Ovis aries: one gene and its partners. Each later gene encodes a partner of the first gene's protein in a complex. Links are inferred from orthologs where the notes say so. Each region holds a gene or a part of one and is shown in the gene's direction. Other genes may lie near its edges.

Region 1 (3,500 bases):
GGGGTGGCTGTGTGCTGGTGAGTCTCGTTGACGTTAGGCATTTCGTGCAGAGTAGTATTTTGACGGTGCTTAGGGAGCCGCAGTGGCAGTGCTCCTGCCAGAATCACTTGCTGTCACTCAGGCCTGAATCTGCCTCGTGTGGGGCACCCTCAGAGCTCGATCTGCTGCCATGGACTGGCCAGCCTGTGGCTGAGTTGGTGGAAGCATGTTCCAGTCGGCACAGCCTGCCTGTCAGGCAGGAGTGTGAGCCTGACTTTCTCTGGGCTTGGGGGTCTGTTCCAGGGTGACCTCGTCTCCTGCAGGGTAGCCCCCCAGCAGAGCAGCAGTGACAGGCAGACCCTCCTGTAGTACCGCGTTAGCCTCTTAGTCCTGAAACCTTATCCCTGCCCAGCGTTGCACTGAGTTCTGAAGTATAGAGCAGGGTGCGCCACTGCTTGCCCCAGAGGCAGCGGGTCCTGCCCCACTCGGGGGGCCCTGTGCTCAGTCTGCTCCTCCCCTCTGCCGCTCAGGGGCCATCCAGGTGGTGGTCGCTTCTCGGAGTCTCTGCTGGGGCATGAACGTGGCCGCCCACCTGGTGATCATCATGGACACCCAGTACTACAACGGCAAGATCCACGCGTGAGTCCAGTGTGCTGTGCGTTCACGGGCCCCTCTCTCCTAAGATGAGTGTAACCTCTGCAGATCCGGAAGGCCACTGTTGTGAAGAAAAGGTGTTAGGGAAATAAATAGCTAGCTGAGATTCCACCCCAGCCAGGGTTTTATTTGTGCAGACTTATTTCTGATGCTTGAAGCTGCTCCTAGGTTTGGATTTGAGTGGGGTGGGCTTGATCACTCATGAACCATATGGCTGTGAGGTCTGGGAGCCTGCCTGACATACGAAATGCTTTAACATGGAGTCATCTGGCTATCGCCGTTAGATGGGTTGGCTTCCCAGGTGGCGCAGTGGAGAACCCACCTGCCAATGCAGGAGACGCAGGTTCCATCCCGGGTCGGGAAGATCCCCTGGAAGAGGACATGTTGGCCCTCTCCAGTGTTCTTGCCTGGAAAATGTCATGGACAGAGGGGCCTGGCGGGCTGTAGTCCATGGGGTTGCAAGGAGGTGGACGTGAGGGAACAGACACACACACACATTAGATGGATTAACACCTTTGGTTCACAGACCCTGAGCAACAAAGTCCTGACTCTTAACACTTGAAAACTAAACTGGTCTGTAGATAACCTGTGACACTAGGGCCTGAGCACACTCACAGAGGTTTGCTGGGATTCTCCATGTCTCCCTGTATCTGCATTTTATTCTTCGACTTTCAGGGAGGCAGTGTCCTGAGTCCTCTTCTCCCTCTGTCTCCAGGTACGTAGATTACCCCATCTACGACGTTCTGCAGATGGTGGGCCACGCCAACCGCCCTCTGCAGGATGACGAGGGCCGCTGCGTCATCATGTGCCAGGGCTCCAAGAAGGTCAGCCCCGGCCTCTGGCGCGGGCTTCCGAGCCTGGGCCTCGGAACAGATTCTTTAATCTCTCTCTCCATAGGCGTCTTTACTTACTTCCTCATGTTCTCTCTGTCTTCTTTTCTTTCCACATTGCCTTTGTAACAAGCCTTTCCCTGTGTAGAATTTTGTAGCCTTTGATTTTTGTTGCTGCTGTTGACTCTGTGTATTGAGATCTTAACCCTCTGGCTGGGTCTGTCTTCCTCATGCCTTGCTCAGCCCTTGGGGCTCAGTGTACCTTCCTCCGTGGTAGAAATAACCAGTGATGCCGGGGGAACCGGCATACACACCCAGCTCTCCAGGTCCAGACCCAGCTCACCTTGTCTGTGCAGCTGGTCTCTTCCGTTTCGTACGAGCCGTGCCTGTTGCACGGCGGCCGTATTTGCCCTTGGCCTTTCTCTGACCGTACTGTCATTGACTGTGTGCTGTACCGTCATTGACATTTTTTCCCGTAGGATTTCTTCAAGAAGTTCTTGTATGAGCCTTTGCCGGTGGAGTCTCACCTGGACCACTGTATGCATGACCACTTCAATGCCGAGATCGTCACCAAGACCATTGAGAACAAGCAGGATGCTGTGGACTACCTCACCTGGACCTTCCTGTACCGCCGCATGACGCAGAACCCCAATTACTACAACCTGCAGGGTCGGTGGCGGCACTGCACGCATCATCCTCTGGTGGTTGGCACAGCCCTCATTCACCGTCTCCTCGGGACACCCCTGCTTACCTGTCACCTTCACAGGCATCTCCCATCGTCACCTGTCTGACCACTTGTCGGAGCTCGTGGAGCAGACCCTGAGTGACCTGGAGCAGTCCAAGTGCATCAGCGTCGAGGACGAGATGGATGTGGCGCCCCTGAACCTGGGCATGATCGCCGCCTACTATTACATCAATTACACCACCATCGGTGAGGGCCGGCAGGGCCTGCAGCCACGGGGACGACATGACGAGGCTTTCAGGGCCTCGTGTGCTTGTCAGAGGGACGCATTGCAGGGTGGAGCCGGGCTAGCCCAGCAGTTAACTCTGCTCCTCCTCTGCCTGCTTTGACTCCTCCAAATGTCCTTTCTTTCCTCTCTCAGAGCTCTTCAGTATGTCCCTGAACGCCAAGACCAAGGTGCGAGGGCTCATCGAGATCATCTCCAACGCGGCCGAGTATGAGAACATCCCCATCCGGCACCACGAGGACAACCTCCTGCGGCAGGTGAGCGCGTCTTGGCTTCTGGAGTGCGTCTTCCGAGCCGCGTGAAACTCGGCCCCCATACCCAGAGCACAGGATCCCGCTCTTGGGTCAGGAAAACTCCTACTCCCCTGCCCCGAGCTCCCTCACACACTCCACACACATCTCAACCCCCACCACCCACAGCCGTCGTCTCCTCCTTAGCGTGGAATGGTTGTGGGCCTGGGGCGGGTGGTGCTTTGGCCCTGAGTGCGGGTCTCTTCACCAACCGCTCTTTCTTCTGCTTTCCAGCTGGCCCAGAAGGTCCCCCACAAACTGAATAACCCTAAGTTCAACGACCCGCACGTCAAGACCAACCTGCTTCTGCAGGCTCACCTGTCCCGCATGCAGCTGAGTGCTGAGCTGCAGTCGGATACAGAGGAGATCCTCAGCAAGGTATGGAGGCAGGGCGCCGCGGGCATGGAGGCCTGGGCGGCCCATGCGGCAGCAGTGCCCACGCCTGCTCTTGCTCTCTGGGCCCTCTGCAGGCCATCCGGCTCATCCAGGCCTGTGTGGACGTCCTCTCCAGCAACGGGTGGCTCAGCCCGGCCCTGGCGGCCATGGAGCTGGCCCAGATGGCCACCCAAGCCATGTGGTCCAAGGACTCCTACCTGAAACAGCTGCCGCACTTCACCTCCGAGCACATCAAACGTTGCACAGACAAGGTGAGCTGGGCCTGCATCGCAGTGTTGGGTGGCCAAGTCTGGAGGCCAGGCATCCTGCACTGGGGTTGGTTGTGGGAGGGGAGGTGTCTCGTTTTGGCTTCTCTGAAGGTGTTACCCAAGAAGGCGCCAGGG
Region 2 (4,231 bases), on another chromosome or scaffold:
TAAACAATTGTATCTCCGTTTTCAGAGTATAAGACCTCCTTTATTCTTCATCAATAGTGCTGAATGTTAATTTGGTTTCTGTAATGGAAAGCAAGATATTGACTTAAAGCTTATTTTCTTGAATTTTAAACTCTATCAGGTAGCAACAATACCTTGAATTTGGTTCCTATTCACATTATGGTATGGTGAAAATGAAACAAGAATAGATATAGGAAAACAAATTTTTTTGGCATTACTTTGTCTTGCCAAAGAATGATGTGACGATTGACTAAGATCCCTGAAGTTAAAAGAGCACTTTTTGCTTTACATATTAAATTCCACGTGCTTTGTACATAATGCTTGCTAGTTGTCTTTCTCCCCCATTTATCCTTTAGCTCCTATAAGGGCAGAAGACGTTGTAGTTCTGTTCTTTACGCTGGTTATACTGAGCAAAATGCCAATGTTCAACTAAAGTATTTGTTCGATGAATGAATGATTGGTGCTTTGCAGCCATTGTGTGAATGAATGATGTCCTTCCTGGCCTTTCCTGCTTAAACTCTTTAGCTTTAAGCTCCTCAGATATAAACATAAAATAGACCAACGCAAAAAATTTGTTCGCTTTTTCTTTTCAAAACAGATGCGTAAAAGCAGCAAGGCTTCCTAAATGTGATGTTATTAACATAGAATGACATCTGGTGGTTGCCTGTTGGACTGTGGAAGAAATAGTGTATACAAAATGTATAGCAGACTCCTAGATATTACAAGATTAAAAAGGACAGTTCAGTTCTGTCACTGTTTTGTCCGACTCTTTGCGACCCCATGGACTGCAGCACACCAGGCTTCCCTGTCCATCACCAACTCCTGATAGTAGAAGATAGAAAACAATAGAAATGGAAAAAATTGAAAAAGTAGAATAGAAAAATAGAAAAAGAAAACGATAGTAGAAAATAGAAAACATACTTAAAATTTCCCCCTCGCCCAACAAACTTTATTAAAAATGCTAGTTGTGGGTTTTCAAATCATCAAACTTTTAAAAGAAGCGGTAGATTTTTTTTTTTAACGAAAATTGCAACACAATGAATCGGTGGCGGGAAAATCAAATTTATTGATTCTGGTCGAAGAAAGATCCTGGGTTGATATGAGACACACCTCGATAAGGGGAAATAAGACAGCACAAAGGCTTCCGTTTCGCAGGCTTCCGGATTAGAGAAATAACTTATTTATAAGACCGGAGATCTCTAAAGTCTCTTGGAAGTTTGGAGAGGCGAGTTATCTGTGGAGAACCTAGAACGCTCAGTGAACAGAAACACTTTCTAGAATCTCCCTGCAGGATAAAGAAGTGGCTGGATCTCCTCAATCGCACTCTCGGCCTCAGATTGGTCGAGCCTGCCTGGGCCGGAAAAAAGCGGAAGCGCGCTCTTTCAAACTCGCCGTTCCGACGTCGATAGAGGCAGGCCACTTCCGGCGTAGCCATGGCGGCTAACGCTACCACTAACCCGTCGCAGCTGCTTCCTCTAGGTAATCTTTGTCCTGTTGGGGAGCCGGGGCGGGGAGTTGAAAGTTAGGGTTGGGGCCGAAGAGCAAGGCAGTCCCTGACCGAGTGTTAGAAAAACGTAGCTTTCTCTGCAGCTCTCCTTTAGGCTCCAAGTCTCGGCGGCCTGAGGCCGCACAAGTCTCTCTGGCGTGGGGGAGTCTTCTTGAGGCAGGGGTTTTTGACTCCCCAAACCTTCACCGGAAAGGTTCAGTCTTGGTGAATGTGTCGTTGACCTTCTTTGTTGGGTGCTCGCCTTTATAATAGTAAGAGGCCCATTCCGCAACCGGGCTTTTAAACTACCCGGGTTATATCCTGTCTGGCTGGTTTCTGAGTGAGGCACTTGGGTCTGGAATGAGCCTTTAAAGAGGCCTCTGAAAACTAGCTCTTGTTACTCATTTATTCAGCAAGCAGTTACCGCGCCATCTGTGCACTAGACACTGTGATTGGGCACTGTTCAACAAATTTAAATCACGGCCATTACCTTCAGATAGCATACAAACCAGTGTAGGAAACAGGATACAGGGCAGACATAGACTTAATGACAAGGAGGAATCTCTGGTGAAGACAGTTCTGCCTTTTTTTTCCCCTTAATATTTTATATTTGAAGGGTTATCGGGTTAGTGGATGTGGCAGTTATTGTAAAGGTTTTTTTCCATCCTGGAACAAATTCTTCTGAATGACCAGTACATTTCAGGCATTGTCCACTGGGGATACACTGATGAGTAAAAACCACCTCTCAGCTCTCTTTCAGCTTAGAGTCAAGAGGGGCGTTCATATGTTAATCAGATAACTAAAATAGTATTAAACTACAACCATGATAAATTGCTACAAAGGAGGGTTAAATGAATAACAGGGAGGGAAAACTGTCCTTTTAATAGAATGACTGAACAGAGATATGTAACATAAGGTCTAAAGTTTTGGAGTGAATACTTTTCCTGGCTTATCTTTTCACCATATGCATGTAACAAGTGTCAGTAGGCATTCAAATATTTGTTAATGTTATGAATGGGCAAACTAATCTTCTCTCTCCCGCCCTTATCTGCAGAGCTTGTGGACAAGTGTATAGGATCAAGAATTCACATTGTGATGAAGAGTGATAAAGAGATTGTTGGCACACTTCTGGGATTTGATGACTTTGTCAGTATCCTTTTAAAAGGTGGTTGTATGGATTTTTCTTCAGATTTTTAAAAAAGAACTATAGACTATCAGTACTTACCGATTATTATAATAAAGTTTAATTTATTTTTTTGGAAATTGTGATAGTGTTTTAAGGGATTGTGGTACTGAAAGATGAAGTTCCTACCAATTGCACGCAGCTTGCATTTGAGCCATTGTATTCAATGTTATAATTAAAACTGAACAAAGAAATAAGCCAGAGTAAATTTAATTTGGTATGTTTATTTTCTTAACACCAAATTTCAGATATGGTATTGGAAGATGTCACTGAATTGTGAGTAGTGTTAAAAATTAAAGAATGGGTAGGGGGAATCTCTGTTTGATTTAAGGCAGTTTTAGTGCTGTTGAGTCAGTAAAAGGATGTAGGAGAGCACACTGCCTGTTTGAATTACTCTAAAGAGAGAAAGTTTACCTACTGATGTTAGTAAAATTGGATTGGAGGATTATTACCATAATTTAATTGTCACTAATTGCTAGGAAGTTAGTGGAGACAAAGGTTTAAGGTAAAAGATACTAAAAGCAGCCAGGGATCTTAGCGCTCAGATCAAATAAAGGAACTTATAATAAAAACATTTAATGTTTTAAATTAGTTACTCTAAAACTTATGTGTATATATATATATATAAACATTTTATTTCATATTTGATCTCCTTGGTAAGTTTCAGTTTTTTAGATGAAGATCTGCACTAGTGGATGTGGGTCTTAGGCCAGTCAGTCCACTCTCTTGCCTTTGGAGAATTGACATCACCATGGGGATAACCTTGTCTCTGGAAAGTGTACAGTTCATTTATATATAGTAACTAACCTTTTGGTGGATCAGAATGTTGGCTTTGATTATCACTCTTTATCCTGACTTTTTGAAAATCTTTTTGTTTAGTGAAATCACACCAGAAGGAAGAAGAATTACTAAATTAGATCAAATTTTGCTAAATGGAAATAATATAACAATGGTAAGACAGTGAAGGTCTTTTATTTAGATGTTAAGCCATCTTTGTGGGGCAGGGATTACAGAACTGACTTGATTGACTCAATGTTCTTGGCCCAGTGGTGCTTAGGGTGGGAAGGGAATGCTCTGCTGATCAGGATTCTGTGGCCAAACTGTTGAAGATGACATTAGGCCTAAGATTAGTTTGTTTATACCTTTTATCTTATGTATTTTTAAAATATTTATTTATTTTTTTATTTGGCTGCATTGGGTCTTAGTTGCATCACAGAAGATCTTTACTTAGTTGCAACATGTGGGATCCAGTTCCTTGACCAAGGATCAAACCTGGGCCCGCTGCATTGGGAGCATGGAGTCTTAATCATTGCACCACCAGTGAAGTCCCTGCTTGTGCTTTTTAATCATTTATTTTACCAAGAATTAACTGTTGAAACATTAAATCACTAAGTATTAATTGATACTGTTGGAATTGTAAACAGAGGTGACATGGGGAAAATGGGAATATGAGGGAGAGGCAAAGGCTGATCAATGACCAGTCAGTGAGCTCTCAGTAGGGGTTTTTAGATCATGTGGTACTAAGTTTTAAACTTTTTCCTCCT
Region 3 (4,222 bases), on another chromosome or scaffold:
TGCGACTCCATGGACTGCAGCACACCAGGTTTCCCTGGCCATCTCCCAGCTCTCTGGAGCTTGCCCTAACTCATGTCCATTGAGTAGGTAATGCCATCCAACCATCTCATCCTCTGTCATCCCCTTCTCCTGCGTTCAATCTTTCTCAGCATCAGGGGCTTTTCCAAAGCCTTAGGAGGGGGCAAGTAATGGAGGATGTGATGGCCCATCAGATTCCAGAATCCACACTTGGCTGATCCTGGGATTCCTCTAGAGAGGGTCCAGAGCAGTTCCTGACCAGTGTGGGGTAGAGCCCACTTCTGTCCTGTCCCTAGATCTTTACTGCTCCATCCAGACAGGAGCAGAGAAGCCCCCTGGCCACATTGGGCTGAGATAGACTTCCCCAGGTCGAATCAGCTCTCCTTAAAATGTGAAGGTTCTGGTGAGGGGCCTGGGGACACTACCCTGCAAGAAGCAGCCAGGGTCCCCAAGCCCCAGGTGTGTGCATAGGGCTGGGGCTGATCACAGCCACCTGAGCCCACCAGGTGGGGGCTGCTCCCAGTGGGGCTGTGGCAAGCTGGAGTGTGGCAGTCACTGTCCTTGCGCAAGGCCCTTGCCCTCCAGAAATTCACAGCCTAAGCCGCTTCCACCCCCACATTTTGAAACACGCTGGAGTCCAAGAGGGCCACCTTCCTCCCTGGTGCTCTGTCACCTGACCCCTTCCTGAGAAACTGAGAAAGGACTAGATAGGAGGGCTTCAGCATTCTGGGCTCCCCACAACCCAGAAAGCCACCAAAGTAGTATTTCTGGGGTCCGATGGTGCTGCCCCGGGTGCGCCCCGCCACCTGGCAGGCTCAGCTCGGGACTGGGGAGCAGAGGATACCAGGCGCGCTGACTTGTTTTCATCTTGGCCTCGCCTCGGGCATACAGGGTCACAGTTCCCCCACCAGGGATCCAAGCGTGTCCCCTCCACTGGGAGCAGAGTCTTAAGCACCGAACCACCAGGGAAGTCCTCACTGGGCTTTTGGGAAGAGCCGACCAGAAGGTAGTGTCAGAAGAGCCACAGAGGGGACACAAGGAGCAGGCGCTCGCGTTTCCACGGCGTCCCTGGATGGTGGAGGGGCGGGGACTGCGGCCCATCGCCAAGCGCGGGTGCATCTGAAGGTGCTTCTACCCCGACAGTCCCCCACACAGGCGACCCCCGGCACCTCTGAGCTCCTACGGGCCCTTGGGGCTCGCCTCAACACAACCGCAGGCTTCAGTCACCACTTCCATCAAGAGGCGGATCGCCGCCTGCGAGAGACAAAACGCTGGAAGCGGGCCCACGCTCAGCGACGGCCCCGCCCATCGCCCCTCGCCTCGTCGCCCCGCCCCTTTGGCCCTTTGGGCGTGGCCAAGTGCCGCTTCCCCCGGAAGTCCGGAACCAAGCCGAACGTCCCGCCCAGCTGGGACGGGCCTTCCTCACGCGGCGCGAGAGTGGGTCCTTGTCTCCTGGTCCCCGACTTAGGTGTTCAGTCCCAACTCCTACGAGGTTCTGAGTCCCCACCGCGTCTCCCACAGCCCAGTCTCAGCTGCAAGCTGCTGGAGAATTCGTTTCCCCTCCCCGGCCCCGCGAAGCCAGGTGGGGTCCTAGCCCCGCGCCCCAGCCTCAACCTTCCACACTCTCCCGCCCGCTCCCCGGGGCCCCTCGCCGCCCGCCCATGGCCCAGAAGCCGAAGGTAGACCCCCACGTCGGTCGGCTGGGGTATCTGCAGGCGCTGGTCACGGAATTCCAGGAGACGCAGAGCCAAGGTGAGTGTCTCGGGGTGGGGGGCAGGGGGGGCTGGGCCGGGGTCCAGCCGCGACCACCGCCCCGACCCTGGCGCCACTGCCCGCTTCTCCATCGCAGACGCCAAGGAGCAAGTGTTGGCCAACCTCGCCAACTTCGCCTATGACCCCGGTAACTACCAGTATCTGCGGCAGCTGCAGGTCTTGGATTTATTCCTCGATTCGCTGTCGGAGGAGAATGAGACCCTGGTGGAGTTTGCTATTGGTAAGGATGGGGCGCTCTCCTAGGTGCCTGATGAGGTAACGAGTTAGAAATGAGTTGTTGGGAAAGGGCTCTTCGGCCGTCTCTCAGCAGCGAAGGCAGACTTTCGTAGTGTCTGTAATGCCTCCGCGGCCAACACAGCGTACAGGTTCACGGGTGGCTTGAGTCTGGCCTGGAACCCACGCCCAGGACCATTTCTACCTGTCTACCTTCCCTGTCGGTTAGAGGTAAGATCATAAATGGGAATGGATTGAAGCCCCTTGGAGGGGCGGGGTGGGGGCGGGGGAGTTGAGCGCTCTTTTAAAACCTCTTTATCTTATATGTTTCACCATCAAGAGAAATAGCGTTCACTCGGAAGGGCTTATGGCACCTGTAGTTGTTCTGGTCTCAGACCTATTGATTTATTCACACGTCAGGTGTTTGTTGGGCTGGTACCCTGTGAGCAAAGTATTGTTCTAAATGCTGGTGAGATGGCCAACAAGTTGGGAAAAGATCTTTGCCCTCAGGGAATTTACATTCTAGTAGAGAGAGACACAAGGTTTACACACAAAAGAAGCTGAGGCACTGAAGAAAACAGGCTGATGAAGAAGAGCAAGGGAAGGAAGGGACTACTTCTGGTTTGGCCCTGGCGGGAAGGCACAGGCCGGGCCAAGACCCCAGAGCAGGAGGAGCCAGAAGGAAGGCTGATGTGGCACCATTGTGGTGAGTGAAGCCCAGAGTGGTACTAAATGAGAGAGAAGGATTTAGTGCTGCTAAATTAGAGAGCACCTCGCACCAGTTTACAGGGATTCAGATCTAGGCATTGGGTGGGAGTTTGGAGTTTATTCTGAGGGCAAACCAACATTCCTGGAACTTCCCTAGTGGTCCAACAACTAGGACTTTGCTTTTCCACTGTAGGGGCGATGGGTTCCATCCCTGGTTAGGGAACTGCTGCTGTTGCTAAGTTATTTCAGTCGTGTCTGACTCTGTGCAACCCCATAGACGGCAGCCCACCAGGCTCCGCCGTCTCTGGGATTCTCCAGGCAAGAACACTGGAGTGGGTTGCCAGTTCCTTCTCCAGTGCATGAAAGTGAAAAGGGAAAGTGAAGTCGCTCAGTCGTGTCTGACTCTTAGCAACCCCATGGACTGCAGCCTACCAGGCTCCTCCGTCCATGGGATTTTTCAGGTAAGAGTACTAGAGTGGGTTGCCATTGCCTTCTCTGGTTAGGGAACTGAGATCCTGCAAAAAGCAAACAAAACCAACATTCTTTCTGCAGCATGTGTCTTTAAAAAATAACATTTCTCTGCATAGTGAAAGGAGTCTTATCTTCATAGGGAATGAACTTAATAATTCCATTGTCACCAAATACCCAGTTAGGCAGACTTCTCTAATAGTTCCCAAGCGGACATTTTTTGTTGTTCTGTATAAACCAGGATCCATGCTCTTAATCTGGTTGTTATGTACGTTAGATCTCAATCTCTCGCTCTCTTTTGAAAGAAACTTTGTATTTTATAACAGTAGAAAAATTGCGAAGGTAATACAGAGTTTCTATGTATACACACCGAGTTTCCTTATTATTACCATCTTACATTAGTATGGTACACTTGTTACAATTAATAAGCCAATAGCAATAGTCCTGTCTAACTCTTTGCAACCGCATGGGCTGTAGCCTGCCAGACTCCTCTGTCCATGGGATTTCCCAGACGAGAATATTGGAGTGGGTTGCCATTTCCTTCTCCAGGGGATCTTCCTGACCCAGGGATAGAACCTGCGTCTCCTACACTGGCAGACAGATTCTTTACCACTGAGCCACCTGGGTACCCCTGTTATTAACTGAAGTCCATGCTTTGTTCTGATTTCGTCACTTTTTCCCTCATAACCTTTTACTGTCTCAGGATTCCATCCAAGATCTTATGTTAGATTTAGGCTCCTTTGGGCTTTGCTGGTTTTAGACTTTTTCTTTTTGTGAATGACCTTGGCAGTTTTAAGGAGTACTGGTCAGGTATTTTGTAGGTTTTCCTTCAGTTGGGATTTGCCTGACATTTTTCTCGTTATTAGACTGGGATATGGGTATTGGGGAGGATGACCACAGAGGTAAATGGTAAAAGGCCATGACATATCTCCTCCAACTGAAGCTATTTTGGGAGGTAGAGGGGGGTGCTTCCCACGTGGGATCTTAGTTCCCTGACCAAGGATCGAACCTATGCCCCCTGCAGTGGCAGTGTGGAGTGTTA
Region 4 (4,084 bases), on another chromosome or scaffold:
CGGTGGCTCAGCTGGTGAAGACTCCGCCTGCAATGCAGGAGACCTGGGTTCAATCCCTGGGTTGGGAAGATACCCTGGAGATGGGAAGGGCTACCCATCCCAGTATTCTGGTCTGGAGAATTCCATGGACTGTATAGTCCACAGTGTCAGACTTTATTTTTTGGGGCTCCAAAATCACTGCAGATGGTGACTGCAGCCATGAAATTAAAAGACGCTTACTCCTTGGAAGAAAAGTTATGACCAACCTAGATAGCATATTCAAAAGCAGAGACATTACCTTGCCGACTAAGGTCCGTCTAGTCAAGGCTATGGTTTTTCCTGTGGTCATGTATGGATGTGAGAGTTGGACTGTGAGGAAGGCTGAGTGCTGAAGAATTGATGCTTTTGAACTGTGGTGTTGGAGAAGACTCTTGGGAGTCCCTTGGACTGCAAGGAGATCAGCCCTGGGATTTCTTTGGAAGGAATGATGCTAAAGCTGCAACTCCAGTACTCTGGCCACCTCATGCGAAGAGTTGACTCATTGGAAAAGACTCTGATGCTGGGAGAGATTGGGGGCAGGAGGAGAAGGGGACGACCGAGGATGAGATGGCTGGATGGCATCAGTGACTCGATGGACGTGAGTCTGAGTGCACTCCGGGAGATGGTGATGGACAGGGAGGCCTGGCGTGCTGCGATTCATGGGGTCGCAAAGAGTCGGACACGACTGAGCGACTGAACTGAATAGTCCACAGGGTCGCAAAGTCGGACACGACTGGGAGACTTTCACTTTCGGAGCAGAAATGACCAGTCACGATCGGCAGGCGAGGCCGGGGCGCCTCCCTCAGGAGGCTTGCCACGCGGCGGCCTGCCCGAGTCGTCCAGTGGGCGGGACAAATGTACACCGCGGGACACGCCCCGCGGCCCGGTTCCAGGGACCCGAAAGAGCAGGGACGGCTGCTCCGGAACAGCACCGGAAGTGCCTGGGAACCGCGCGGGATGCGTTGACGCACTTCCGGTTCTCGCAGCTTCCGGCAAAGTGGGCTACAGTACCAGGAACGAGGCTCTGGCCGTTAGCCCTGGAGCATTCTGGGAGTCGCAGCCCTGCCTCCTCACCCAGACTCCCTTCCTGAGTCAATTCCGGTCTCTTCGCGAAGGAGCGCCACGGTTTCCTGTAGGGAAGGCAGCGCATGCGCAAAGTCATCACTCCCGATAGGCCTCAGGCGTGGGAGCCAGGGGCCTTGTGGGAGATGTAGTTCTTCAGGCGCGGGAGAAGCGGCCATCGGCCAGCGGGGGACTCGGTTTCCCACGAGGCTGAGCGCGGCTCAAGATGGAGGCAGCCAGGCCGAAGTGAGCCGGTAGGTTTTTGGTGGGAGGGCCGCGCTGCTGACCCGTCCGGCTTCAGCGGGCCACTGTCCGTAGTCTGCTGCCCCAACCAGGGAGACCCTCGTGAGGCCCGCACCCTTGGCCCGCCCCCGCCCGACTTGGCCGCAGGACTCAGGCAGCTGACAACGAGCGCCTGCTGGGCACGCGCCGAGATTCTGGGCGCGTGGAGTGGAGAAAATCAAGGCTCTGCCTCCTAGGGGAGAGAGACAACCCTCAAGGAAGCCAGCGCTCCCTGGGACCTGGCCAGCCCCGACCCCGGCCCTGAGAAAACCGCGCCTCCGTCAGCCTGGACTCGGCTCTGCCCTCCAGTGAGCTCAGGAAGTTCTCAGAGAACTCAAGAGACGCAGACCTGGCATGCTCGATCTTGGGGCGCGATTCCTGGCTCCCCTCGGAGTGTCCCACTGATCACGGGCGTCCAGGGGACGGGAGTGCAAATTTAGGAAGCCGGAGGCTGGTCGAAGCTCCAGCTTTGCCTCCAGTGTACGGAATGACGGGCCAATTATCTCCCCACTCCTGTCCTGCCAGCCCTAAAACAGACACCGTTGGCGTTTACTTCGTGTCCCCTTTCCTGGAGTTGTTCCTGCATTTGGGGAGTCATGCAAGGCCCAGAGGAATGGAGATCTCGCCTGCGTTTGACCTGGAGCAGGGCACTCGGAGCCACTCCTGGTCCAACTGGCCTGGTCTTTGGTGGGTGCAGGAGCAACAGAGTCACCCTTGGCAAGCAAGGGAGGCCTGGTGGGAAGAGGAAGTTGGTGGAGGCTGAGGCCTGTCCTCTGAGCCTGGAAACAAGTTTCAGGGTGCTTGGTGACACTGGAATGCTAACCAGGTGTTGGCAGGACTTCTGTGCTCCACTGGGAAAGTGAAGGGTGTGTGGAGGATCACAGATGTCGCTGGAGGTTGCCTCAGGAGCTGTGGGGCCGGCCTCTGCCAAGCAAGGCTGAGCCAGCTTCCTGAGAGCCTGACCCTCAGATGTCAAGGACCTGGCTGCAGTCCCTTCTGGAGCTGCCAGGGCATCTCTGCACTCAGGAGCACACCTCCTCCCCACAGAGCCGGCAGGTGCCTCCGGCTTTGTGGAGTACTTCCTGCCTGCCCTGCTCCCAGGCAGCATCCCGCAGCAAGCTCTAAAATTCTTTATTGCAGTTGTTAGCACAGTGAATAAACGTACTCCTCATCCACACAGCAAATGTTTGTGAAGTCTGACTGAGTCAGTTCGAGCTGTTCAGTGAGCCAGTCTGCAGTTCCCGCCATGACTGTCAGCTGTTTTCCGTCCCTCTGAGCACTCACTGACCTGAAAACGTAATAAGCTATCACGTGGAACCACCACAGGACGTGTCAGTTACCACGATTAGACTAGTGACTGATACAGTGTCGATTCTGTAATTTCACTTTTTGAAAAGAGTGATCACCCTTCATGACTCCTTGTAATCCATTAGAAAGTAATTGAATATGCTAGTGTGTGGAAACACTGGCGCTGTGTCAAAACGAAACAGTGACAGTCTTTCTCCGAAGTGAAAAATTACTCAGTTAATGGCCGGAATACCCTCAGTTTCCATTTTGTTTTAATGTTTCACCCCTGCAGCTGCTAGCCAGTGTGAGGAGGGTGATGCCTGCTTTAGCACAAAATTACATGCTCTGCATGTCACTCATTCATTCCTTATTTACCGGAGAAGGCAAGGGCACCCCACTCCAGTACTCGTGCCTGGAAAATCCCATGGACGGAGGAGCCTGCTGCTGCTGCTGCTGCTGCTGCTAAGTCGCTTCAGTCGTGTCCGACTCTGTGCGACCCCATAGACGGCAGCCCACCAGGCTCCTCCGTCCATGGGATTCTCCAGGCAAGAGTACTGGAGTGTGGTGCCCTTGCCTTCTCCGGACAGAGGAGCCTGGCAGGCTACAATCCAAAAGGCCACAAAGAGTCGGATGCAACTGAGCTGAGCGTACTGCCTGCCACTACCACACGTGGCCGACAGAGGGAGCGCGAGGATTGCTGGTGACCCTGGGTTGACACCCCGGCCGGCTGCTCTACCAGACCACCCCGTGCGGGTCCCCTAGTGGCTCTAGTCAACCCTGCCTGGCGAGGACTGAGGGAGGTGACAAGTCAAAAGGACCAGCTCCTGGGCCTGGCTGTTTTGGGGGCTTTGTAAACCCAGGCCCACTCCGGGGATGTTGGCACCACTTCCATTTGTCCGCCATCTGGTCTGATGGCTGGCTGTCCCTCCCTGCCCTTAGCCAGTCACCGAGCCGCTGAGCAGAGCCGTACCAGGGGGCCTTTGCCACCAAGAACCTTCGTCAGCATTCAACCCACCTGCCCTCCAGCATCCAGCAGGCGCCCATCAGACGGGGAGGTAAGAGGAGGGCTTATGGTCGGTGTGGCGGGGGTGGGGATGGGGGCTGGCCCTTCCTCCTGGGACACTGCTCTTCCTGCTGATCCTGCCTGGGGTGGTGGGTGTGAGCTTGTGTCCGGGGACTCCCGGGGCTGTTTTGGTGCAGGTGTGGCGTGGTCTGGGGACACATGGCAGAGGCAGGGGACAGCCGACACTTCCCTGACTCGGAGGCCGACACCCTGCCTCCGGACACTGGCTCCCTCAGCGACTCGGACTCTGACCTTAGTTTGCCTGATGGCGCTGGGGCGGCTGCCCTGTCCCTGGGGGGGCTGCCTGGGGAGGTGTCCGGGGATTCGGGCCCCGATGAGCCCCCCTCGCCCCCCAGAGGCCTCCTCACAGAG
Region 5 (2,458 bases), on another chromosome or scaffold:
GGAGCGGAACCTGAGTGCCGGGTTGCGGTTGGGTGTGGTCAGGCTGGGAAGTGACTGGGCTTGGGGTGGAGGGCTTGTCAGGGCTCTGCCTAGGGCAGGGGGTATGTGGGGCCAGAGGTTCCTGTGTGCTCTTGCTGGCCCAGCTGCTTCCTCAGTGCCAATACCTCCTCTCCGGCTGCTGTGGGGCTGAGGGTGCTGCGTGTGGGGCTTCCCACGAACTTCTGAGGCCCCACCTGGGTCCCCGGGGCTCCTTCCCTCTCGCCTGTGCTTCCACCTCCTGCTCCACTCCGATAGGGCCGCCATAAAACCTCGTAAAAGGCTTTGTAAAGTAAACAGGTCCCTCCTTGCTGTTCCCAGGCTGGTGCTCTGTGTGCTGCTATCTGGGTTTGTGCTCTTTAAATCACACTTTATCTGACACTGAGCAATTAAGAATACCACAAGGCTTAAAAAACAATCAAGCTATCAGGCATGAAATTACTCCCTTTTGTAGCTGAGACCAGCCAAGGCAGCTGCCTGGAGGTGCCTAGTGCACATCTGCTCTGGAACTTGACTGCAGAGCTGGTGGAGCTGGCTGTCAGCGTGCCCATCATGCCCTCACTGGCACGTGGGGAAGGCTCCCAGGACCCTGACTCGGTTTCTGATGCTGTGGATCTTCTCCTGGGCCTGGATTCAGGGGTCTGTGTCTGCTTTTAGACCAGGTTTTCAGTGTGGGCTTCAGCTCCTTCTGGAGATGCCTGGTAGGACAGAATGTTCCAGAAGGTGAAGAAGAGGAGCAGGCAGAAACTTCTCTTTCCCTAATCACAGCCTTGATTGAATTTTTTGTCCGATCAGTTACTTTCATCTCCCTATGTTTTACTCAGAGGAAGATAATAATTTCTTGCTCTGTGGGTGGTTTTCTGAGAAATGCCTTAGGTGGACACTTGAAGGAAGGAGCGTTTCAGGTAATGACCTGGAGGGGTTTCTGGGTGGCCAGGCCTCATCCGTTGGCACCCCAATGGAGCCTGAGCTCTCCAGGGAGAGGTCAAGACCAGCAGTCCCTGTGCCTGACTCTGTGCCACTGCAGCGGGTCCCCAGGCTTGAGGTCTAGCCCACCGTGGAGCCAGCTATGACCTGAGCAGGCCAGGGTTGCCCCCAGTGTGGCTCCCGCAGCCCCGGAGCACCACCAGCGCTGATCTGTGGCCACCTGGTCCCCTCCTGCTGCTTCTGAATAGGCTATTCTGGAGCGAGCGGAAGATCACCAAGGCCCGGGAGTGGTTCCACCGCACTGTGAAGATTGATTCGGATCTGGGGGATGCCTGGGCCTTCTTCTACAAGTTTGAGCTGCAGCACGGCACAGAGGTGAGGTGCCTGCTGCCCATGACTCCCACCCCACCAGTCTCAAACGAAGTGCTGGCGGGTGACACAGCTTCCATGGCTGCTTTCTGCCTGTAGCCTTGGAGTCTCAGCCTGAAATTTAGATGCTCGGGGGCATCTTTTAACAAGTTGGTTGTGATGGGCTGTGGCAGAAACAGGGCTGGAGCTGGAGGCCTGAGGGTTGTCTTTGTGTCATAGCCATCCTGTCCTGCTGGACAGAGACTTCCCAGAGCCCAGCGCCCTCGGGGTCTCCCCTGCCACCCCCACCCCGATGTGGAAGGTGGGTCCTCTTTAGGGGGCAGGTGCGGACACTGGTATGAAGGCTGGTAGAGTGCAGTGGGAGTGGGTTGGTTCAAGCACCTGCGATCCCCACCCAGGAGCAGCGGGAGGAGGTGAGGAGGCGCTGCGAGAACGCCGAGCCCCGGCACGGGGAGCTGTGGTGTGCCACGTCCAAGGACATCGCCAACTGGCAACGGAAGATCGGGGAGATCCTGGTGCTGGTTGCAGCGCGCATCAAGAACACCTTCTGAGTGTCCTGCGCAGGGGTGGGGGTAGGGTGGGGGTGGTGGCTGTCCTGGTTGTTGATTAAAGGTTTTCTAGTAGTCGTGGGGTTTGTGGCAGCGGGTTTTCTCCAAATCCTACCCTCATGTGCTTTGACCGTCCCAGTCTGGCCCTCACACTGGATAGGGCTAGCTCTCCAGACCTCCTAAGAGCCTATGCCCTGCAGAGGAAGCACCAGCAGAGCTGGGCAACTCTCCAAGGCTTTTTGGAGATGGAGGCAGGAACTTGTGTTCTGGGTAAAAGCTCTGTGTGGAAACAGTGAAGGCCCAGCTGGCCAGGTGACTCCGGTGCCTGCATGTACAGGTCTTCTCCTGCCCTGTCTATGCCTCCTGTCCCCCAGCGGCAGGCTGTGTGCATCCCAGGAGAGTGACTTTCCTGAGTGCTCTTGGGCCTGGCCCCTGAGGTTCTACCACAGGATGGCGAAGAGGCCCTCGGCATGTGAGAGGGGGAGTTCATTTTTGCTAATTTGTAGTTAGTGATTTTTACCCTAAAGCTCTTGGACCCATTCTCTGGATGAAAATGCACTGCTTACCTGGAGACTTGA
Region 6 (3,500 bases), on another chromosome or scaffold:
TCGAGGGGAGAAAAAGAATCAGGGTGACTTCTAGGTTTTTTGCCTGAGGAACAGGGTGGATGGTGGCACTAATTATCCAGCTGGCAGAAAACAGAGGAAAGTGTCTTGGGTGGTTGGGAATCTAGAGTTGCTATCTAAGTGAGAAGTTCTAGTAGGCAGTTACGTATGTGGAAGACATAGGACCAGAAAAGTGAAGCTCCTGATTCTTTTAGTGTGATCAGCAAAGACATGGTGTTTGTGTTAGTTGGATATGCCTGATGCTTGGAGCTGTTTTGTATGAGGGAATGAAAGTTGAGATAAATGTGTGTACCATTTTCTGAACAGGTCCCCAGCCAAAAAGAAAAACAAATCCTCAGGGAGAAGAAGCAAGTCTCCCCGGAGTAAGAGAAGCCGAAGTCCTCACCACTCAGCAATCAAAATAAAGCAGGTAAGTGGACTGAGATGTTTTCGTACTGGCTCCAAACCTAGAGCCTCTCCATCATAGCTAAAGTGGTGTGTGTGTGTTTTCCTGTACCTGCAGTGGGCTTCTCCAAAAACTGGGCTTTTTTTTTTCTTTTTTCTTCTTTCTTTGTTAAACTTTTTATTTTGAGATAATTGTTGATTCACATGCAGTTGTAAAAGGTAATACAAAAGCCACAGTTTGTCCCAATAGTACCATCTTACAGAATTATAGAACAATATCCCAACCAAAATGTTGACATCAGTTCTGTCAAGATACAGAACATTTCCATCACCACAGGATTCCTCAAGTAGTTCTTTTATATCACACCCAGTTCCCGCCTACCCTTACCCCTCCAACTCCTGGCAGCTTCTAGTCACTTCTCCATTTCTGTTATTTTGTTTCCTCAAGAATGCTATGTAAATAGAATCACACAGTATGTAGCCTTTCTGGATTGGCTTTTTCCACTCAGCTAAGTTCTTTTGGAATTCATTTATATTGTTGCTTTTGTCTGTAGTTCCTTCGTTTTTATTGCTGAACTGTAGTCAATGGTATGGATTTAACCATTTGTCCATTAAAGTGTATCTGGGTTGTTAGCAGTTTTTGGCTATTAGACATAAGACTGCTGTGTATACATTTCTGTACAGGTTTTTGTGTGAACATAGGTTTTCGTTTCTCTGGGATAGATGCCCAGGAGTGCAGTTTGTAGATGGTATGGTAGGTGCTTTTTTTTTTTTTTTCCTAAAACATTAATAAATTGTTTTCCAGAGTGCTGTGTTAGTTTGCCAGGTCTTCCATAACAAAATACCACAGACTGGTTGCCTTAAACAACGGAATCTAAGAGGCTAGAAGTCAGAGATCAAAGTTTCAGCGGTTTGGTTTCTCCTGAGGCCTTTCTCCTTGGCTTGCCTTCTTTGTTGGGTCCTCATAGTCTTTCCCTCTGTGCTCGCCCATCTCTGACTCACATCTTCTTTAACCACATCAGCCATATTGGATTAGGGGCTTACTCATTTTAACTCAATCAGTTCTTCAAAGACCTTACCTGCAAAAAATCTGGTTACAGTCTGAGGTGTGGGGGTTGAGACTTCAGTATGTAAATTTGGAAGGGGCGCAATTCAGTCCTTACAGTGGCTATCCCTTTTTATAATGTGAGTGATCCAGCATTTGGTATTGTGACCATTTTGACCATTCTGATAAGTGATAGTGATACTGTGATTTTAATTTGCATGTCCCTGGTGGCTAATGACGTTGGGCATCTTTTCATGTGTTTATTTGCCATCTGTGTTTCCTCTTAGGTAAAATGTCTCTTCAGATCTTGTGCCTATTTTCTAGTTGGATTGTTTTGGGTTTTTTTACTACTGATTTTTAAGAGGTTTTTTTTTTTTTGGTAATATATTCTTAGATACCAGGCCTTTTTGGAGTGAGAGGTTTTCCAGTATTTTCTTTCCGTCTGTATCTTGTCTGTTCATTTTCTTAAAAGAGTTTTCCTCAGAGCAAAAGTTTTTGATTTGTTTGGAGTCCAGCTTGTCTGTTTTTCCTTTTACAGATTATGCTTTTGGTGTTATGTCTAAGAACTTCCCTGACCCTAGAACCTGAAGATACGTTTTTCTTTAATATTCATTTAAGTCCATGATCTGTTTTGAGTTTGTTTTAATCTAAGGAAGGAGCCTTAAATCAAATTTCCTTTTTCGCCCCGTGGATATCCATTTACTCCAGCACTAGGTGTGGAAAGACAATTTTTCCTCCCTTTAATTGCTTTTGCTTTGTCAGAAATCAAAAGTGTGTGTGTGTGCCTTTATTTCTGGGTCCTCTGTTCTGTGCCATTGATCTGTCATTCTGCCAGTACCACAGTCTTGATTACTGGAGCTATATAATAAGTCTTAAAATTGAACAGACTGGTTCTTTCACTTTCTTCGTTTTAAAAATTGCTGGGACTTCCCTGGTAGGCCAGTGGTTAAGACTCTGAGGCATAGGTTTGGTCCCTGGCTGGGCGGAACTAAGGAGGCACATGCCACAGGACATGGCCAAATAAATAAATAATTGTTTTAGGAATTCTCGTGCCTTTATCTTTCCACATACATTTTAGAACAATCTTGTTTGTATCTATTGAAAAAACTTGCTAGTATTTTGATTGAAATTGTGTTAAACTTGTACTTTTTGAAAAATTTTAAAAAATTATGTAGCGTCTTCCAGTCTTTGAATATAGGTGTATCTCTGTTTATTTAGATCTTTGATTTCTTTTATCAGTGTTTCAGTGTACAAGTCCTGTATGTGTTTTGCTAGATTTGCACTTAAGTAATTTTTTTAAGTTATCATTAAATGATGGCTCTAGTCCATGGGGTCGCTAAGAGTCGGACACAACTGAGCAACTTCACTTTCACTTTCATGCATTGGAGAAGGCAATGGCAACCCACTCCAGTGTTCTTGCCTGGAGAATCCCAGGGACGAGGGAGCCTGGTGGGCTGCCATCTATGGGGTTGCACAGAGTCAGACACGACTGAAGTGACTTAGCAGCAGCAGCAAGTGATATTTTGAATTTCAGTATTTACTTGTTCATGGCTAGTACATAGAAATATGATCCATTTTTGTATGTTTATCTTACACCCTGTGGCCTTACTGAACTCATTTATTTGGCCTAAGTAAATCCCAACCTAAAACTTGGGATTTTCTGCATAGATAGTCACGTCTGCACAGGGGCAGTTCTGTCTGTCTTCCTTTCCAGTGCATGTTCATTTTATTGCCCCTTGCTGCATGGCTGGGACTCTCGCACTGAGTGGAGCAAGAGCAGTCAGATCAGGCTCTCCTGCCCTGTCCTCATTCCTGAGGGACAGGCGTTCAGTCATCGTCTTGTGCTCTTTCCTCCAAGTTTTATTTAATTTTTGACAGTGCTGGGTCTTTGTTGCTGTTGTGGACTGGAGAATCCCAGGGACGCGGGAGCCTGGCGGGCTGCCGTCTGTGGGGTCGCGCAGAGTCGGACACAACTGAAGCGGCTCAGCAGCAGCAGCAGTGGACTTTCTCTAGATGCAGTGAGCAGAGGCGACACTCTTGTTGTGGTATGCAG
Region 7 (4,030 bases), on another chromosome or scaffold:
GGATCTGCTCTTTGGAACAAGATCCAGGAGGGTCAAGTCTTTCTACAAACAAGGAATCAGGTACATAAGCAAGGGTTTTATACACAGCAGTGTCCTGCCAAGGGCCGGCTGTCTCAATGCCTTTTTCTTTGGTACTCAACAACCTTGAGGGAAACAGGTGGACAAGAAAGGGAACGTTATAGATAGGTTATTCCTAAGCTTTGCAAAGGCACCCGGTTTTTACGAAGGACCCAGCTTCATTTTCATGGAGTTAAACAAGTGTGAAGCAGCTGGTGAGGTGGGGAAACCATATAATTTTGGATGGTGAATGGCATGAAGAAAATCAGTAATCTATCCAAAAGAGTGACAGAGGGCTACTTTAGATTGGGTGCAATGTTCCTGACTAATGACCTGAGATGAGACTTGACCTACAAGACCACTCCGCACCCTCATGAAGATTTAGAAGAATATTAAAGTCAGTTAACAGGCCCTAAATAGAATCCGAGTCTCCGTGACCTAGAGGAACAGGCTAGAGTCCCAGGTAGGTGGCCAGATAATGTAATGTAGGTCTTTTATGTAGCAACTGGATTTTATTCTAAATAAGGGAATCCGGGAGTGATTTATAAGCAGATTCATTTAAAAGCTCTAGCTGCTCTGCAGTAAGTGACTTGGAGATGATGAAAGCGGAAGCTTGTGGGAGAACTGGAATTAAAGTCTAGTGCCTGACTTCATGAAAGTGCTGAATATACTGAACAAGCCTTATATGCCAGGCTGTTCAAAGCGCTGAGGATAAACACGGTTTTTGCTTCCGGGCCTCCAGACTAGTGAAAAGGGGTAAGAGGCCGCACATATGATGGTTCAGACGGTCTTGGCTGCAAAGGCTGATCAGACCCTGAAGACTGCCTAGTCCAAGCCCCGTAGCCTGAGCGAGAATCATCCGTACTGCACTTACTGTATCCAAGTGAATGAGAGGCCCGTGGGCCTCGAGCGAAAAAAAAGCCGAGGATGTCCTCCGGCCTCAGCGCTCAAGGAGACTCAGGTGAGGTAACAACTTGCGACTCGTCAAAACGGAAGGAAGCCCCGGCCACCCACGCAGCGCGCAGCTTGGCATCGAAGGCAGAGAGCTTCCGGGGGCGGGGCCGACCGCCTCCCACCGCACCGCCCCCCCCCCCGGCTCTTCCTGCGCCTGCGCCGGAAATAAACACCTCCCGGCGGAGCAAGATCATAGGATCGCCGGAACCCCGCGCTCCCGACTTCTGCTTCCGGGTCAGAGGCATGGCGGTGGCAAATTCAAGCCCTGTCAATCCCGTGGTATTCTTTGATGTCAGCATTGGCGGCCAGGTGAGGTCTTGGCAGCCAGCCAGCCCGATGCCAAAGGGAACGTGCACGCGGTCTGGCAGGCAGATCACCTCCTCAGGTGTAGCAAACTCGGGAAGCCAAAAAGTGAAATTGAACCAGAACCTACCGACCTGCGGGGCGGGGGTGAGGGAGTAGGAAGAGGAGGAGTCTTGCGCATCCTAGCGCCCGGCTGGTGGAGGGACCGGGTGGAACGGAAGAGTAGGCTACGGAGGCGGAGGTGGGAGAGACCAAGCGGCATGGGGGCCCGAGGGTTCCCTGTTCGGTGAGGCCTTCACGGGCTTGGACTGGGCTTTCTGAACGTCTCTCGCCGGTTGCAGGAGGTTGGTCGTATGAAGATTGAGCTCTTTGCAGACGTTGTGCCTAAGACGGCGGAGAATTTTAGGTAAGATGATGTTCTTTGCTGGATAAACCAAACGAGAAGCTGGGCCTGTCTGTGGAATCTTCTGCCTACCTCTATCCGTTCATTCACCGTCCTTGAGATCTGACTTCTCTGGGTATCTCTCTGAATAGTCTTGACCGTCCCCTTTTCAGTTTATGTTAATCTGTATGCCTGGACGTCTGACCAGCCAGTTGGTGGGCTAGCTAGCGCCGACGTTCCCCTTCCCGCTGAGGTTAGGGACGCTCAGAGTTGTGATGCCATGGCGACTGAATCGTTCACTCTTTTCCTTTTCAGGCAGTTCTGCACAGGAGAATTCAGGTCAGTCTCTGACGTGGTTGACTTCTCTGCTTGCTCCTGAGGGCTGTCCTGAGGCTGCAGTTGAGGGTATTGGGGAATCACCGGCAGGCCTTGTATGACTGGTGACAGTAATAGAAGGTATTACTATGGGTCTGTCCTCAGTTCATTTGCCTTCTTCGTCTCTCTTCTCCCGACCATCTTTAGAAGGGTGTCTCTGGCTCGACTGTATGGTAAACGTGAAAGGCCTATGTTTACCTGTTTACCATTTCAAGTCTCTTTCTTTTTGCTTATAGAAAAGATGGGGTTCCGATAGGATACAAGGGGAGCACCTTCCACAGGTAAGGCCTTTGGCAAGCCATCCTGGGGGACTTTTAAAATTACTATTAGTATGGTTTAGAATTACTTCCTTGGGGGATTAGTCTCTTCAGAGGAAAACAAAACCATAGCATAATTCTTAGTTCTTGAGAAGGGATGCTTTTGTGAACTCAACCATTGATTTGAGGACTGAAGTGATAAACATTATATTTTGAAATTAATGTTATTCCAAACCACACAATCTTCTCCCAGCATCCTTTGTTCTCTGTTTCAGGGTCATAAAAGATTTCATGATTCAGGGTGGAGATTTTGTTAATGTAAGTACTGTTCCTTTCCTATTAAGGGCCTATAAGTTTTGTTTTTGTTGGTTGTTGTTATTGAAGCTGCTCCTCGGGGAACTGAGAACAGTAGCCAAGTTTGCTGGGGGAGGAGGTGGGAATGGGAATATCCTGTGATGGCTGCTACTCGCTGCATCACTAGATAACATATTAGCACTTTGATTGAGTCACTCACTCCAAATCTCAGTCTTTTAGGGCTGGGAACTGACTTTCCCAGCATACCTATAGGTGATCCATGACAGACCCAAATTAACTGGGCACATGGAATTTAGCTAGAAATCAGTTACAGTTAACTTTCTCTAAATGGGGGCAAGTCCCTTTCCAGTGAGTTAAATGCTTATGCCCTGATTTCCCATTCACTTCTGGTATCCCAGTGCCTCGGAAGGTGAGTTGTTATTTTTTTAATCAAGTTCATTAGTGGGCAAGAAATCAGAGAGTTCTGGAAGGATATTTTCCCTATTCACTAGGAGAACCCATTGAATTAATCCTTCATTGCTAAGCATGATTTTTCTTGCCACTGTATGCATCCCCATTTCAAGCTTCCCAACCTTGCAGGGTTCTGAATAAACCACATTTATGCTTTCTTAAACCTACGTTTGTCCATACCCACCCATTTCTGTGCATGATCTTTCTTATTAATATCATTTGGTTAGTCATGTTGCTGTTTTCTTGGATCTGGGAGACATTCTTTATCCTTTACATGTATATTTAGTTTGACTGTTAGGAGTTTTTTTAAGATTTCTATCTTTCCTACCCAGATAAGTTTACAAAGTGGCAGATTTGGGGCTGAATCCGAAACAGATATGCTTTGTATCATCTGTATGATGTTGTAAAACTGGGAAATTTTCCGGAAAGTTCTGGAGTTTTGTTTTCTCTGTTACAACTGAAAAGTAGGGGTGCACTTGGCCTGTGTTTCTCATGTAGCAACATTTGGTTGAGTCAAGTAACAGCTCCCTTTAGACAGGTATGTCCTTATTATTTCACCACAGTTCCCACCACTGGCTTCCCTTCTTTACGTCACATACTCCTATAGGCATTTAAGTTTGCAACCCCTGGCCACGACTGATTAGAGTAGGGCTTGGGGTGACCATATCCTTTTTTATTGGCAAGTAAGAAGGGCTAAGATGCTATTCTCTGTGTTCTTTCTTCCAAAGGCTTCTATACTGCTATATTGTCTTAGCAGGGATAGGACTAACTTCTTATGGGTCATTGCTAGGCACATGTGATCACTTGCTAATTGCTCTAGAGTTAGCAGTTAGTCAGCCAGAAGGCTGTCAGGGAGAAGAAATTACTCAGAGCCACCCTTAGGGCAGAAAAAATAGAATGAGCAAGACGTAGAAGCAGAATTTGAGACCTTCTAAAG

The links.
Region 2: SNRNP200 (region 1) and LSM5 share a complex: the UniProt entries of both Homo sapiens proteins name them as parts of the U4/U6-U5 tri-snRNP complex. The link is inferred for Ovis aries from reciprocal best matches to the Homo sapiens genes SNRNP200 and LSM5.
Region 3: SNRNP200 (region 1) and ARMC7 share a complex: the UniProt entries of both Homo sapiens proteins name them as parts of the minor spliceosome. The link is inferred for Ovis aries from reciprocal best matches to the Homo sapiens genes SNRNP200 and ARMC7.
Region 4: the proteins of SNRNP200 (region 1) and TSSC4 are in contact, whole or in part, in a cryo-EM structure (PDB 7PX3), measured with the Homo sapiens proteins. The link is inferred for Ovis aries from reciprocal best matches to the Homo sapiens genes SNRNP200 and TSSC4. Residues at the interface, in NP_054733.2 of Homo sapiens: Arg1438, Arg1475, His1502, Lys1748, Gln1749, Val1752, Asp1753, Thr1756, Trp1757, Tyr1761, Arg1762, His1778, Leu1781, Ser1782, Asp1783, Leu1785, Ser1786, Glu1787, Val1789, Glu1790, Gln1791, Glu1807, Met1808, Asn1814, Met1817, Ile1818, Tyr1821, Tyr1822, Asp1928, Ser1931; in NP_001284587.1 of Homo sapiens: Val198, Ser199, Ser200, Phe201, Asn202, Gln203, Asp204, Pro205, Gly211, Arg212, Val213, Ile214, Phe215, Thr216, Lys217, Pro218, Arg220, Gly253, Pro254, Val255, Glu256, Leu257, Ala258, His259, Leu260, Ala261, Gly262, Gly303, Phe304, His305.
Region 5: SNRNP200 (region 1) and PRPF6 share a complex: the UniProt entries of both Homo sapiens proteins name them as parts of the U4/U6-U5 tri-snRNP complex. The link is inferred for Ovis aries from reciprocal best matches to the Homo sapiens genes SNRNP200 and PRPF6.
Region 6: SNRNP200 (region 1) and SNIP1 share a complex: the UniProt entries of both Homo sapiens proteins name them as parts of the minor spliceosome. The link is inferred for Ovis aries from reciprocal best matches to the Homo sapiens genes SNRNP200 and SNIP1.
Region 7: SNRNP200 (region 1) and PPIH share a complex: the UniProt entries of both Homo sapiens proteins name them as parts of the U4/U6-U5 tri-snRNP complex. The link is inferred for Ovis aries from reciprocal best matches to the Homo sapiens genes SNRNP200 and PPIH.

The regions. Positions count from the first base shown.
Region 1 is NC_056056.1:104,085,737-104,089,236, forward strand, and holds part of SNRNP200 (U5 small nuclear ribonucleoprotein 200 kDa helicase), read left to right. Parts: intron 1-509; coding exon 510-618; intron 619-1,348; coding exon 1,349-1,457; intron 1,458-1,942; coding exon 1,943-2,132; intron 2,133-2,229; coding exon 2,230-2,394; intron 2,395-2,566; coding exon 2,567-2,688; intron 2,689-2,955; coding exon 2,956-3,099; intron 3,100-3,191; coding exon 3,192-3,368; intron 3,369-3,500. UniProt on the Homo sapiens protein: Catalyzes the ATP-dependent unwinding of U4/U6 RNA duplices, an essential step in the assembly of a catalytically active spliceosome. Plays a role in pre-mRNA splicing as a core component of precatalytic, catalytic and postcatalytic spliceosomal complexes.
Region 2 is NC_056057.1:65,578,978-65,583,208, forward strand, and holds the start of LSM5 (U6 snRNA-associated Sm-like protein LSm5), read left to right. Parts: upstream 1-1,431; 5' UTR 1,432-1,451; coding exon 1,452-1,497; intron 1,498-2,558; coding exon 2,559-2,654; intron 2,655-2,935; coding exon 2,936-2,963; intron 2,964-3,566; coding exon 3,567-3,639; intron 3,640-4,231. UniProt on the Homo sapiens protein: Plays a role in pre-mRNA splicing as component of the U4/U6-U5 tri-snRNP complex that is involved in spliceosome assembly, and as component of the precatalytic spliceosome (spliceosome B complex).
Region 3 is NC_056064.1:55,673,427-55,677,648, reverse strand, and holds the start of ARMC7 (armadillo repeat-containing protein 7), read left to right. Parts: upstream 1-1,422; 5' UTR 1,423-1,679; coding exon 1,680-1,770; intron 1,771-1,867; coding exon 1,868-2,011; coding exon of another isoform or gene 2,012-2,024; intron 2,025-4,222. UniProt on the Homo sapiens protein: As a component of the minor spliceosome, involved in the splicing of U12-type introns in pre-mRNAs.
Region 4 is NC_056074.1:45,569,345-45,573,428, reverse strand, and holds the start of TSSC4 (U5 small nuclear ribonucleoprotein TSSC4), read left to right. Parts: upstream 1-1,284; 5' UTR 1,285-2,049; intron 2,050-3,588; 5' UTR 3,589-3,704; intron 3,705-3,849; 5' UTR 3,850-3,871; coding exon 3,872-4,084. UniProt on the Homo sapiens protein: Protein associated with the U5 snRNP, during its maturation and its post-splicing recycling and which is required for spliceosomal tri-snRNP complex assembly in the nucleus.
Region 5 is NC_056066.1:53,535,199-53,537,656, reverse strand, and holds the end of PRPF6 (pre-mRNA-processing factor 6), read left to right. Parts: intron 1-1,211; coding exon 1,212-1,338; intron 1,339-1,730; coding exon 1,731-1,883; 3' UTR 1,884-1,958; downstream 1,959-2,458. UniProt on the Homo sapiens protein: Involved in pre-mRNA splicing as component of the U4/U6-U5 tri-snRNP complex, one of the building blocks of the spliceosome.
Region 6 is NC_056054.1:12,368,528-12,372,027, reverse strand, and holds part of SNIP1 (smad nuclear-interacting protein 1), read left to right. Parts: intron 1-324; coding exon 325-427; intron 428-3,500. UniProt on the Homo sapiens protein: Required for pre-mRNA splicing as component of the spliceosome. As a component of the minor spliceosome, involved in the splicing of U12-type introns in pre-mRNAs. Down-regulates NF-kappa-B signaling by competing with RELA for CREBBP/EP300 binding.
Region 7 is NC_056054.1:17,161,434-17,165,463, forward strand, and holds the start of PPIH (peptidyl-prolyl cis-trans isomerase H), read left to right. Parts: upstream 1-1,230; 5' UTR 1,231-1,254; coding exon 1,255-1,320; exon of another isoform or gene 1,321-1,655; coding exon 1,656-1,720; intron 1,721-2,011; coding exon 2,012-2,035; exon of another isoform or gene 2,036-2,129; coding exon of another isoform or gene 2,130-2,152; intron 2,153-2,307; coding exon 2,308-2,352; intron 2,353-2,603; coding exon 2,604-2,646; intron 2,647-4,030. UniProt on the Homo sapiens protein: PPIase that catalyzes the cis-trans isomerization of proline imidic peptide bonds in oligopeptides and may therefore assist protein folding. Participates in pre-mRNA splicing.